Arabidopsis thaliana: one gene and its partner. The protein of the gene in region 1 interacts with the protein of each later gene in a pairwise test. Each region holds a gene or a part of one and is shown on either strand. Other genes may lie near its edges.

What was found.
Region 2: the proteins of SIP4 (region 1) and MYB49 interact in a two-hybrid assay, tested with the Arabidopsis thaliana proteins (one large-scale study listed by BioGRID).

The regions. Positions count from the first base shown.
Region 1 is NC_003071.7:12,934,633-12,941,680, forward strand, and holds SIP4 (SOS3-interacting protein 4), read right to left. Parts: upstream 4,203-7,048; 5' UTR 3,941-4,202; coding exon 2,633-3,940; 3' UTR 2,347-2,632; downstream 1-2,346. Other genes in the region: AT2G30350 (Excinuclease ABC, C subunit, N-terminal), read right to left, coding at 1-298, 383-516, 639-777, 971-1,110; CHAL (allergen-like protein), read right to left, coding at 5,945-6,190, 6,644-6,819.
Region 2 is NC_003076.8:22,014,424-22,021,420, forward strand, and holds MYB49 (myb domain protein 49), read right to left. Parts: upstream 3,639-6,997; 5' UTR 3,423-3,638; coding exon 3,290-3,422; intron 3,093-3,289; coding exon 2,963-3,092; intron 2,631-2,962; coding exon 1,934-2,630; 3' UTR 1,720-1,933; downstream 1-1,719.

The DNA.
Region 1 (7,048 bases):
TTCATCAAATACAGTTACAGGTTCTTTCGCTTTTTCAAAATGCCGGTCATCCGATGAGCTTGTATTTGAATTCCCAGGCTGGCTTAGGTTGCTACTATCATCATCATCATCATCATCATCCTCTTCATTAACCTCGGGACTCTCTTCATCTTCGGGTTGAGAACTGTCATCTACCTTTGTGAAATACTGAAGATCCTCCATAGCACAAACTTGAACTTTCATATGTAAAGGTAAACTTGGAGATTTACCACCGTGGTGTGCATACTTTGACGAGAAATAATTAACCGTGAGGTTCAAACTGATCAACAAGACACAAAGAGACATATAAGTTATAAGAAAATGGATACCAAAGCATAGCAACAACAACAAGAAGCTTCCTTACCTATTCCAAGCTGGAAGATTTAACATTGTATATACAAGCTTGATCTTACTAGCAACCCCAGAGAAGGATTTGAAAGCCGCAGCAGCTTCTCTAACTGCAACCGATTCTCTCGGATGCTGCCAAGCCCATTCAAACTGCAAAAAGGTTTTTTTTACGTTAGCAAAACATTCAAGAGCGAGGCCACAACTGGAGAACAAAAGAAGTAAAAACAGAATCTTTTGGCAAGGAATCTTTTGCTTTAGGGTAGCAAAAGGACCTGAAGGGCAGAGACATTGGTGGGGAAACCATAGATACAGAGAACCATTTCCCATGGACGTTTCTTCTTTGTTCTCCAAGCACCACTAGTGATCTCTCCATTGTGCTGCCTTATTCTCCGCCTCGGGTTTACAGTGAACCTACCAACCAAACCCAGTTTATGCAATCAATCACTAAACATCTCATAGTCTGATTATTAAACACTCAAAATCTCCTATTTGATCAAATTTAAGTATTCAATCAGATAAACCCAGAAAATGTAAATCCTTTCTCAATCGAATTTGATCCAACAGAATCTTCAATTCCAAAATCAGAGATGAGAGAAACAAGTACCCGATATAGGTTTGACCCTTATGACGAGGGCTAAGAGAGGTCAAGAGATAACAGGCGAAGAAGCCTTTTCCATCTTTTCCGGTGACTCCATCCTCACCGACGGGATCTAGGGCTTTCCGATTTCCCCTTTTCTCTCTCATATCTCTTGGATTCAATTCGACCGTTGAAGACGACAGATTATTACACTAAAAAATCCGTTTTATCTCTTAAGGATGAGAATGGGCCGAAATGTATGATTAAGGCCCACTGTATTCAATGACCCAATTTTATAATGGCCCAATTTTTTATAATTCATTTCCTATACTGTATTTTGTTTTACTTGGTTCACATGACATTGTTACCCATCATGATAGTGATACCGTGATAGGTCTCCTATTGATTTTAGAGCTTATAAAATTTGCTCACTTATGTCAAATTTTACCGCAACTAAAATTTCAGCTTTCAAATAATCTCTCCTCATATTATATCCTCTTTTTCTTTTTACTTTTCAGATACAATAAATGATGGTTTTCAATTTTGAGTTTGTCTCTAATAAAGAATTTATTCTTAACTTTGGTTTAGTAGAGTTTTTGGTTTTTATTTTAGCTATATAGTAAACTTTGATTTCAGAGAGTTTGGTACAATAATATTTTTATGAGGAAATCACCCAAGTGAATAAAGAGAGTTTAGATATAGTCAAGAATATTCAATAAGCATTCTACTTTCCTAATTCACACCAAACAACCTAATTTGCCAGAGTTTTTCCATTTGCACCTAAAACCAAAAGGTGGGCAGAAACTATGGTGAGATGATATTAATTAAAATTTTAAATTGGCCAAACAAATGATGAGAAGAATAACAAAAGGCTGGTGCTTATGATGATGCTTTAATAATGATAATGATTCCTTAACCTTCACTCGTTTTGAGTTGTAATATCCAATCAAGTAGACAATAATAGCTTTTCTTTTTATAAAGCTGCAGATTTCAATTTTTGAAGTTCCCTGATTCTATACATACTTTTTAATGCTTTTTCTTCACTGGATGTGGAACTCCCATTTCAATCATTTCATTTGTTCAATAATACATTACACAAAGTTTTTCTTTCAAAAATGCTTTCAATTCTATACATAAATATTAAAGTGAAGAAGCCATATTTGATAAGCAGAAAAATGTATAGAATTGAAAGCCTTTTTGAAAAAAAAAAAAATGTGTAATGTATGGATTTTTGAGAGTTTAGATGAGTTTATGCGATTTAGAGATTATTTTATTTTAGTAATTTATCTACTTTTTATTTTCAATTCATTGGTTATTAATCTGATTTGGTTATCATGCACTTTAACTTAATACAATTTGCATGGTTGATTTTAAAAAGTAGTTATGTACAAATGTGTAAAATTGGAAAATCCAAACTATAAATAGAAGAACATTTTCTACATTATACAAAAGAGTGAAGTATCTACAAATGCAATTTTAGACTTGTTGTTGTACATAGTAACACATTGATCAAAAAGCACAAAATAGATACCTACAATTTGGTACAGTATTTAAATACATACATTAATTTTTATTATTTTTTCTCTGTTTTTAATTCCGAAACAAAAGTAGTAGAAACCAAATCCAACCAACGAAACGCGATTGGCGTTTTAAAATTGAAAGCACGGTAGAAAACTTCATAGCGTTCTTTTAAATAGCCGCGTTTGTTGACGACGTCTGATCGCAAACGCGAATAAGTTGAACCCTGAGTTTACCATTCCACATCTCCTTATAACAATCACCATCACCACCTCTCCGCCGTGCCTCCACCACCACAAGCAAATCATTCAACCGCGAAATACAAATCCCGATACCAAATTTCCCATTTTGCCCCTCCATCTCAAACCCATACTCTTCCTCCTTCTTCTTCTTCATCCTCAGATTCTCCTCTCTCGCAAACCCCTCCACTTCCTCCGCCAACATCTCCGGCGACTTTTCCGATAAAAACCTCTCCGATTCACCACTCGAATTACTACAACCAGCAAACAATCCCGACAAATCCAATCCCGACGAGTAAGAAATCAAATCAAACGCGTTTAAACTCTTCACAGCTTCTAGTGACGATTCCACTTTCTGATCTTCGATCTCGTCATCGTGGAACTTGATCTGTTTAAAACCTCCTCTAACAAACCAAGGATCTTTCAAAATCTCATCAATGGTGATTCTAGTCTCAGGATTAATATCTAAAAGACGAGAAACGAATCGTTTCAGATCTGGAGACATCCAACGAGGAAAACGATACTCTCCTTTATAAATCTTCTTATACATATTCATCACATTCGGATCGTTAAACGGTAAATAACCGGCGACGAGAACGAACAAGACGATTCCACAAGACCATACATCAACTTTAGCACCTTCATATCCTTTTTTAGATAGAATCTCCGGCGCAACGTACGCCGGAGTACCACACAAGGTATGTAACAACCCATCGGGTCGGATCTGATCCGTTAACGCGCTTAGACCGAAATCGGAAACTTTTAAGTTTCCGTTTTCGTCTATTAATAGATTCTCTGGTTTGAGATCGCGGTGGTAAACACCGCGAGCGTGGCAATAACCAACGGCGGAGATCAGTTGCTGGAAATATCTCCGGCTTAAATCTTCGCTAAGACGTCCATGTTTTGAGATTTTGTTGAATAGTTCTCCTCCTTTAACAAACTCCATTGCGAAGAAGATCTTTGATTTTGTCGCCATTACTTCGTGGAGCTTGACGATGTTTGGATGAGATAATCTTCTCATGATTGAGATCTCGCGTTTGATGTTGTTGGCTAGAGCTGGATTTGTGAGGAGTTTTTTCTTGTTGAGGATTTTCACGGCGACGCTTTGGCCGGTACGACGATCACGTGCGTGGAAGACTTTGGCGAATGCGCCGCATCCGAGAAGCTTTCCGAGCTCATATTTACCGAATAAGGCGTCGTTGTTGTCGCCGCTGCCGGCGGCAATCTCGATCTCTGGCATGATTGATGAATCCAGAGATTGATTGATGAATAAGAAAACTTCGCCGGAGAATTTGAATCTGTTTCGTTTGCGCGTAATGCAGATGTGATGAACACGTAAGCTAATTCTTCTTCTCTTTTTTTTTTTTTGGTTTTGTTGTGAATTTACTTTTTATGGAATAAGAAATTTGAAAGAAAGTGGTTTAGGTATTTAAATGGTGGAGAAGTGATGGCGTAACGCGGAAGCTTTTAAAAAGATAAGTTCGATAGAATAATAATGGATTAAGGGTATAAAGGAATTAGAGTTGCCTAAAAAAGGAGTTTAACTGAAGCACTATTATATGTAACCGTTACAGAATTTGTTTGTTGTCAATTAAAAAAATAAAATGTTAAAGTTTTTTTAACCCAAATTTTATATATGTGAAGCAGTGAAGGTTTACTGTTATAATTAACTGACACAACTACCTGAGCACACAATCCATCTATTCAACACATGAAGCCAAATTTAGCCGATAATGTAATTGATAGTCTTCACATAAAGCAACTGTTCTTGAGTCGATGCATATGTATATCTAGTTCCTTAAATCATATAGTTTTTTCATTTTGTACAATCGATCTACAGACTACAGTGTACACCTAATTATTACGTGGTTTTTGTACTCACTCAATTATTATGTTGTCGATAGTTTCTACTTTATTTCCTCTGCCTACGTGTCATGATCTTATCACTTAACTTACTCTGATCATAACTCTTCTCGTACTTTTTACATCTAAAACTATTCAGAATCTTGTAGTATTATAGTTAGAAGAATGTACATCAATAAATAATTGTTTCGTATATCAGTTATTTGCGTGTCTCATCGTATATGGTTGTTTTTTTATTCAACTCTTAGGTAATGAAGAATTGAAGATAGCGACTTGGTTAGTAACTTATACTAACAAAACATGTTCCACGAGGTAATGGCAGGTGTCTCTCACACACGTGGCAATATCCGAACGGTGGAACAAGTCGACGCGGCGCCGGCTTCAAGCTGGACGGTTCTGGATCGTGGGCCGGCTGTTGAAAAATCGGTGCTGAGATATGTTTCTATTTTATTTTATTTTTTAATAATCGCTGATTGCAGACTAATTATTTCTCTATTGTTTGATCTGATTGACTAATTATTTATCAGTTATAGACTAATAGCCAGGAAATAATAACCTTTGCTCGCGTCGGTAATTTGATTATTTTTCTAACATAGAATAAGAAAGAACTTTGCACCAAAAAAAAAAAAAGGAATAAAGAACATGGGCCGTACCATATTCACATCCTGATTAAACTTTCGTCTTTACATAAAAAACCTTTCAATAAGAAAGAAGAATCAGTCAGTCAATGACTGCGACTTTAAAGAAAAAAAATGACCGCGAGTCTGCGACTTTAAATCCTTCAAACTTTTATATATGGGCTATGTGTGAGTGGTGTAAGGTGTATTTGGATACGTAATACGTTATACGTTAGCATATGTTTTCTTGAATATTATCAGTGTGTACGAATAGATTAAATTGAACGAGCTGAGACTACAGAATTTAAATGAAATCAACGAGTCCCGCAGACAGATGTTAATAGTTTACTTATATGTATATGCTAAGAGTAATGTTATTGGGCTTTTGGTTTATTTATGTTAGTCCATATGTTTATGAGCCTAAACCTATGTGATACTTATTAGAAAGCGAGTACGTTTTTTTATTTTTTGTTCATTATAAGCAAGTACGTTGAAGAAGAAGACAAGAAATATGTTTCCTTTTGACACCAAATGTTGATATTATTCATGAATTATGTCACCATATACGAAATCATATGCTAAGAACGTCATATCGTCTATACGAGCATCATCAATCAATTTATCAGCAAAAGTTTCACGTTGAGGTTGTCCTAGCAACATGTCAATGTATAATAAATATTTGGAGTAGAGGCAAGATATAACTACGAACATGCATATAATTCATATATATAATGTATATATGTGAGTATATATATTATAAAAGATCATGGCATGTACAACTTGTTGCCGCACTTGCATCTCCAAGCTTCCGGGTAGTATTCGGCGGTGACAGGCGTGCCGGGAGGCACCGGAACGTGAACAGGCTTGCACGGAGTGCATCTTCCACACTTGGAGGAGCACCGTGGTGGAGATGAGCCCAATCCCCTTAGAATCCTCCGTAGCTCTGCCTCCTTGCTCCGGTCACCGATCTTCCTAGTCTTCTTTATCACTACGGTACTCTTGCCTTCCTCCTGAACACATACTCAAAACGTACATATTATCACATTTTTCATTACTAAATATATATTCAAACGTATACATATCCTAATTTATTATTTTCTTCATTAGGATAATACATCTAGTAAAACAAACCAAACAATATGGTTAATCAAGAATAATTAGTATTTTCTAATTAACGTTCAATAATTAGTATCTTCTAGTGAACTCAATTTCAGCTGCTATCAACATAAGATAGTGAGAGGACTGCGTTACTAACGTGCGATTTCATGCTGACATACGCATATTATTGTTAAAATGCGCAGTTTAGGTAAAAAACATTTTTAAGACAGGGTTGGGGATGTGAGACAAGACGCGGGAAAACCGCTCCGGAAAAAGCGCTACGCACATTACCAAAAAGGGCAGAGAGATTGAGAAGTTCCAAGAGCCTGTCATACGTTAACGTGCACCGTGGGGGCTAATATTACCACTCGATCGAGATCGTAAGCAAGGCAGGGTCCCACGAGTGGTGAACGAACCAAAAGTTGAGTACTGTCCTTGTCCTCGTGTGCGCTGAAACCAATCCGACGGCTGAGAATTTCTTTAGGAGTACATGGCATCTCTGCATGCCCAGTCAGTCTCGACATGCCGTCACAGTCGCTGACTGTTCAAGCGCAGTTTAGCCACAACCCTTTTGTTTGTGTAGTCCTTTTAGAGAACCCCGCATTATAAGCTTATATTATTTATGGAAAAAAAAAAAAAAGCTTATATTATTTTTAAAGTGTGTTTAATGATGAATCAACATCAATCTTGTCCTCCAAAGATGCTTGAATCAGGAGAAAATAGAAACTAAGCTTTTTTTGGATTTTATGTGGTTATAGTTATGCCAAAAA
Region 2 (6,997 bases), on another chromosome or scaffold:
ATTATGTATTTATGTTGATATATTTTGAATCTGATAACACGCTTCTAGCGATAGGAAGTGGATCTCGATGACCTTGGCACGGCTCGCGAGTCCGGTCAATTTAGAAGTGATTTGCGTTTCTATGAAGTTTGGGATGTTATAACAAGTTGCTTCATGGTTCATGCAATTTGTTTTTGTTTTTCATGCAATTTGTTAGTTTTATCTTAGTTTACTTTGTTTTGTATCTTTGGTGTGTAACAAGTTACTCCTCGTAGATTCGATTACAATCGTGCTACAAAGGCATTTCATCATGCATATGCGATATAACGTAGCTGATTGGCTTTGCGAATTTGAGAAACTTAAGGCCCAGCTCAGTTTAAACCTGTTGTAAGAAACAAAATTGTTGTGTTTGAGATTTATTATCTAGTCTTGTCATTTGGATCGACAAACGCAGACCCATATCCAAATTCTATTATATATAATAACACAACTTGTTGAAGTCAAACTTAGGATAGAAAGAAATCAAGATTTTTTTATCTTCCTTTGAAATGTGGGCAGGTTACTACATTGCCAAAGACTACACAATAATGGTCAATTGGCTTGTATAGTTAAAAAAAAAACGAAAATAATGGAAATAACTATGAGTTAATAGTTAATTAGTTATGACTCGTATGGCCAAACGACCATGTCATGTAACTACAAATAGACTTAATAGCGTGCAGAGAGATTTGTGTGATGAAGAAATACAAAGGAGGTTCTTGTGTTCCCTATGGAATTCTCTTTGTTTTCCAAAATTGTTGTTGTAAAAACTAACTAATTATTACTTATAAATTCTCTCCCCAGTAATATACACATTTTTTCTCATACAATATCTATAAGTACAAGTATATAATTTATTTATTTCATATCATTGCATGATTTTATTGTATTTTTATGGCCGCAAGGTTCAATGAATGGTTAGGCGTATGTATTTTTTTTTCCAATAATCCAAGAGACTAGAATGGACCACATATTTATAAAATACTATGATGTGTATGTCTCTATACACATACATAAGTGTCATTCAGTCAATTACAGAATTTCAAAGTAGCATCTAGCTACTACTTAATTTATGTTATAGTTGATAGTAGCTATTTTTGATATATCTCATCTCACTGTATGAACAGTTTTATAACTTGGGTTTGGTGTTTCGAACAACGTTGACTATATATTTTCTATTTTAATCTTTCATACACATTTTCTCATAGTGGATAACTATTTAAATCTTCCTTTTAGGTGTATTACTATTTATTTGTGCTGATTTCAAACCAATCATAAGGGAAAACAAGTCGATTATTTCTTTTTTCTTGTATTATGAAATTGAAAACTCCCCTTTATGAGTCTATGACCAATTAAATATAATCACTATTGTCTCCTGCTCCACCAAATGTGTTCTTAATCATCAAAATCAAGATGGTGCAAATAGAATAATAAAACTATAACACCAGAAAATTTTCGTACAAGTTGAAGACCTTTTAGGTATAACGAATGGAAAGTTCTTCGAATTGGAAAATAAGAACAATTAGTGGAAGAAAATGCACAAGAAATCCAAGATTAAGAATACACTTAACTCTTAAAATACTAAGTATGTACGTAACACACTTATCAACCATCTTATGACCTTTTGAGAGTCGACTAATGTAAAGTTCTTCGAAGCAGAAAAAACAATTAGTAGAAGAACAAAGTCAAGATAAAGGTACACTAGCTGTTATCCTCTTAGGTTTTATAACTTTTTTAAGTGTAAACAAATAGAAACCTTTTCGGATCAAAAAAAGTAGAACAAAAAAAAAAAAAAGAGTCAACATAATAATAGACTAAGCTCTTATATTACAAAGTATGTAACACAATTACAAACCCCCATTAAAAAAAAGTAAAAATAAAACAAATAAGATCAAGAAGCAAAATAAATAAGACATTATGATAGATTCAAAGCATTATTATTATGATCATGATGATGATGAAACATCAACATGTCGCTACCAAAACTCTCTCTATCATCTTCGCTTCCACCATTGACATAAAAAGTCGAAGACGAATTCAACGGTGTCGAGCTGCTCGATGAAGTTCCCGCTAGCATTGATGAACTGAAATTCCATCCGGCCTTAAAATTCTCACCATCATTAATGTGGTCGGATACAAATGCGGCTGATGAGTAGTTTCCGGCTTGAGGGACTTTGTTATTAGATGGATCACCTGTACCGGTATAACTGTGATAATCTCCCAAGTATTCTCCATTGTTTTGCCATTGAACGGGTGGTGTTGAGTTGAGCAAACCGGTGAAAGTGGTTTGGTCAGTGTTTAGGTCGTTTTGAAGCTGTTGGTTTGGTTGGTATGATTCGGTCTGAACGTTGTTGAGAGAGGCAGTGAGATGATTCAAGATATCAGGATTAATATTTGAAGTAGTGAGATCAAATGGAGTATTCATCGGTTGTGACATAGATTTAAACAATGATGAGGTAAGAAACGAAGAGAGCTGGAGAAGATTAATGCGGGGACAATGAGTCACCGGATCAATCCCCATTCGTAAGAGTTTCTTTTTAATATGTGTGTTCCAATAGTTTTTGATTTCATTATCTGTTCTTCCTGGTAAGTGAATAGCAATTGCGGACCATCTATAGAAGAAAAAATATCGTGTTATAGATTTTAAGTTAAAATCAAAAAGAGAAGTATAAGTTTTAACTTGTTAAGATATTAGCTGCAGCGAGTTGAAGATTGCATGCTTAGCTTTAGACATTTGACCTTGGTATAGTGCTTAACTATGTTCTTGTCTTTTAGTTGAATAAAATAAAATATGCAAGTAATATTATAACAAAAATGTAAAGACATGGAAGTCCAATGAAGTAGGTGTAGTAGTGGAAAACTAGGTCATTTTTTACTTAATTTAATCATACATGTAAACAATTATACACTAAATGAAGAAATGAAAAATTGCAGATAGACTAACTTGTTTCCAAGAAGACGATGAAGTTGAATGATGGTTTCTTCCTCTTGAAGAGAGAACTCTCCTCTCTTGATATCGGGTCTTAGATAATTCGTCCATCGCAATCTACAACTCTTCCCGCATCTTTTTAACCCTTTTAAGATTCACACCAAGAAAAACGAATAAGAACCATGATTGTTTTAATTTTAATTCTAACGTTGACATGATCTAGCATGATAATCATTATTAGTAAATTTTAAACATAAACGTAAAACAAAACGCAGGAAAACATATTGTAGCTGATAGGATTTAGCTATTTGTATATATACATGCGTTAGGGTAGGAATTTACCGGCGTTCTTGGGAAGGGTACGCCATTTGCCGGGACCGTGCGTTTGAATATAGCCTACGAGCTTCTCGTCTTCCTCCGGAGTCCATGGCCCTTTCTTCACTTCACTTTCCTCCGAGCTTGAAGATTTTCCCATCTTTTTCAAATGTTATATGTGAGAGAACTAGAGAGAGAAGCTAATAAGCTTTGAGAACTTGATTACAGAGAAAATTTGGTTTCTTCATGAATTATGATTTATGTATATACAAATATATATATGGTACATGCAAAGTCAAGTCAAGGAGATTTGGTACCGCCCTTCCATCATCTATCTAAATACGTGTCTTTTCTTGATGAAATACGGAGACAAAATGAAGTAGAAAAAAACTGCTTATTATGTTGACAAAACAAAAGAGTAATTTTTACTCTCTATCTTTAAAGTCCTTACTAACAAACAAAAAGCTCTGACCAAAGAAAAAAAGTAATAAACAAAAAGCATGAGACTAAACCATCTCTATTAACCCTAAAAATAATTAATATTGATGGAGTGAGAACACATGGCAGAATATGGGTGGTGTATGAGGACGTGTGATAGATATGTGAAGAAGGTTCCATTTGTTTTGGTCTCTTTGTCTCAAATCATCAAACAGTTTTCAAGATAGCTATGTTGCGTGTATGTTTAATGTTTACTCATCTGTCATCACTATAGCAATATCATATACATAAATAGACAGATTCAAAATAAGAATTTTATTGAATAAGGTGTGGTTACAGTGATTATACTGAATAAATATGCTTATTTAGCCTTCTAAGTTTTGTATACAAATAATTTCTCTTCTAAGGAGAAAATAAAAAGGAAATATGTAAAGAATGATTACGATAGTGTAAAAAAGTAAAAACAATAAAAATCCAAACGGATCTCCAGTGTGCTTCATCGGTTGGAAATAGATATATATCATCGTGTCATCAAATTTCAGTAGCAAAGCTAGATTGTCCTGCTTGAATTAAGACATCCGATCGAAGTGACTCAGTTTGAGTAACGTCCTGCATCGCACCAGAGTTTCTGTTTACTTCAATAACAATTACATAACGACAAGTTTGAATAACTGATAATCTAAGACATGTATTTTGTTTTTACTAAGTTAGGTAAATTAACGACAAAGCGTTGTTGCAGTGCAACATACGTAAAGAACAAGGCATGTTAACGGTCAAAATACATGTGTGATTAATGAAACAATACTATATAATATACATGTGTCATTGAATTGCAGAGACTTTGGTCTCAGTCCGAAACATGGTTGATTTGACAAGTCAGGGATTTGAAATTTTTTGATTTGATATTTGTAAGAAATTATTACTATTTTAGTTAAATTTGGTTAGTATAAGTTTTAGATTATTTGGAAAACAAGTTATCGGCCGGTTTAAGAGTGATTATATAGAAAGGTTTGGTATTAGAGAAGAATGATAAAGTGACTTTTTAAATTAGGAGAATGACCAATTTATCATTGTTTAGTGCATAGGCGTATTTGACAAGTAACCCCTTGCTCTTGTTACATGTTAAATATTATTGTGTCATATAAAGAGGTAAAATTAATTCTACACTTTATGCGGTATAGCCGTATAAAACATGTTAGGTTGATAATAAACAAGTTATCATAACGTTTTCAACAAGTGCCAAAAATATAAACTTACACTAACACTAAACCGTATATATCGTTTTTTTTAATATAATATTATTTCTATAACATCGATATATCTAGTAAATAGTTATTTTGCGTCCATATAATTCATATTTTTCGTTATATAACAATGAAATGAGTGTTTTTCCACGGTATAGAATATTTTACATGTAAACTTTAAATCATATCATTGTCTCACAGGGAATTGATTCATGAAGGTAAATTTTGTGATGCATGTTTTAAAAATAAAAGACTGCTTTATCAAAAAAAAAAGTAGACCCTTTAACAAAGAAAAAAAGATCCTGCCAAAAATGAATAATGATAATTAGTTATTAAGACGACAAGAAAATTCAGATAATGTGGTCAAATATTTAATTTCTCAACTAAAAGGAAATACAATACATTGTTATTGGTAGATTATGTTATTGCCTGGTTTATCTACAACAATCCCAACAACCCAATCGTCTTAGTAACATTAAAATAATCGCTGTCACAGGAAATTTTGATGAACTCAAGCCTCGTTTCAGATTTATCAGTTTTCTTATAACTTTGCATCTACCAATTATGCAAGTCTTTTCATAAACTAATCTATCGATTATGTAAGTCTTTTCATAAACTAATCTATCGATTATGCAAGTCTTTTCATAAACTAATCTATCGATTATTTAAGTCTTCCGCATGTAAATTCGTTAATCAGCTACCATCTTCATTTTAGTTTGGTATAAGAAGTTATTTATACTGTATGATCTAAATTACATTTAAATATTAAGGGTTATTTTTTCTTTTTTCCGAATGAAGTTCTATTATTGTTTAAGACTTTCACGCCTCTAAGGCCGATGGCCGACCATAGAGACAAAGACATGGACTGAAACTAATGATCGAAATCACCTTGCTCATTTATCTTTCCAATTTCTTTTATATAAACAAATTATAAACAAACACACACAAAATAAACAGACGTAACTTAACCTTTAATTCTTATTTTTAAGAAACAATGACGTAACGATTTAGCAAAAAACACCTAACCTTAGATTTCATGGTGTATAATATATCCACGACGCCTTGAACACGTACAAGTGTGGTAGCAAGCACTAGCAACATAGTAAACTAAAAAAAAATTGCCAGCAGCATAGTAAACTAATTATTCTCTTGGATTTTTCTCATATTCGGATATATAGCATATTTTTTAACTTATCTTAAAATCAAAGTTAGGATTAATTAAAAAAAAAAAATCAGTAACATCATCTTTATTTTAGTTTAACCTCATAATACGAATACCTTAGCAAAAACTATTAGTAGTTATAAATGTCCCAAAACAATTTTGTCATAAATGTCCAATTATGTGTACTGGTTTTTTGACTCTTTAAAAAAAAAAAAATTGTTGTCTTTTGATTTCTGCCCCTTTATTGATGTTATATCCTATGCTTATTTTTTTTTTTTTTTTTATTTTTTTTTTATTTTTTTTTTTTTTGTCACAAATCCTATGCTTTGTTTTCTTTATCTTTCTTGGCATATATTCAACAAACAAACAAAATAGTCTAGAGACTATAGACTATAGACCACAGACTATAGAGAGACACCATATCCAAATTAATTGAACGAGTCATCTATATATACATTTTTGCAGCCATTTTAGCAAATAAATCCTAGACTTTGATTTATTTACAATCTAATGCCATTAGCATTAAATCTTTTTTCTAAAATAATTAATTTTACTTTAAATTTTTGATTTAAATTGTCAATCACATTATCAATCAAATTTAATCCCACCAAACTTCAAATCAATCCCTTAAAATTAGCATAAACATATTTGTTAACAATATTTTAAAACAAAATTTTTTGTTAAATAAATATTATTCTTACTTAACGTTTTTTGTTTAAATAAATAAATTTTGTATTTGAACTTATTTACAATGTCATGTCACTGACATTAATTAATTATTAATGAAAATATTTAATTAAAGATTTAAATCTTTTAAATCCTTGCTTTTAGAGTTATTATGTCATTACCTTATAAGCAAAAATATTAACTTTTTAAATATTATTATTTATA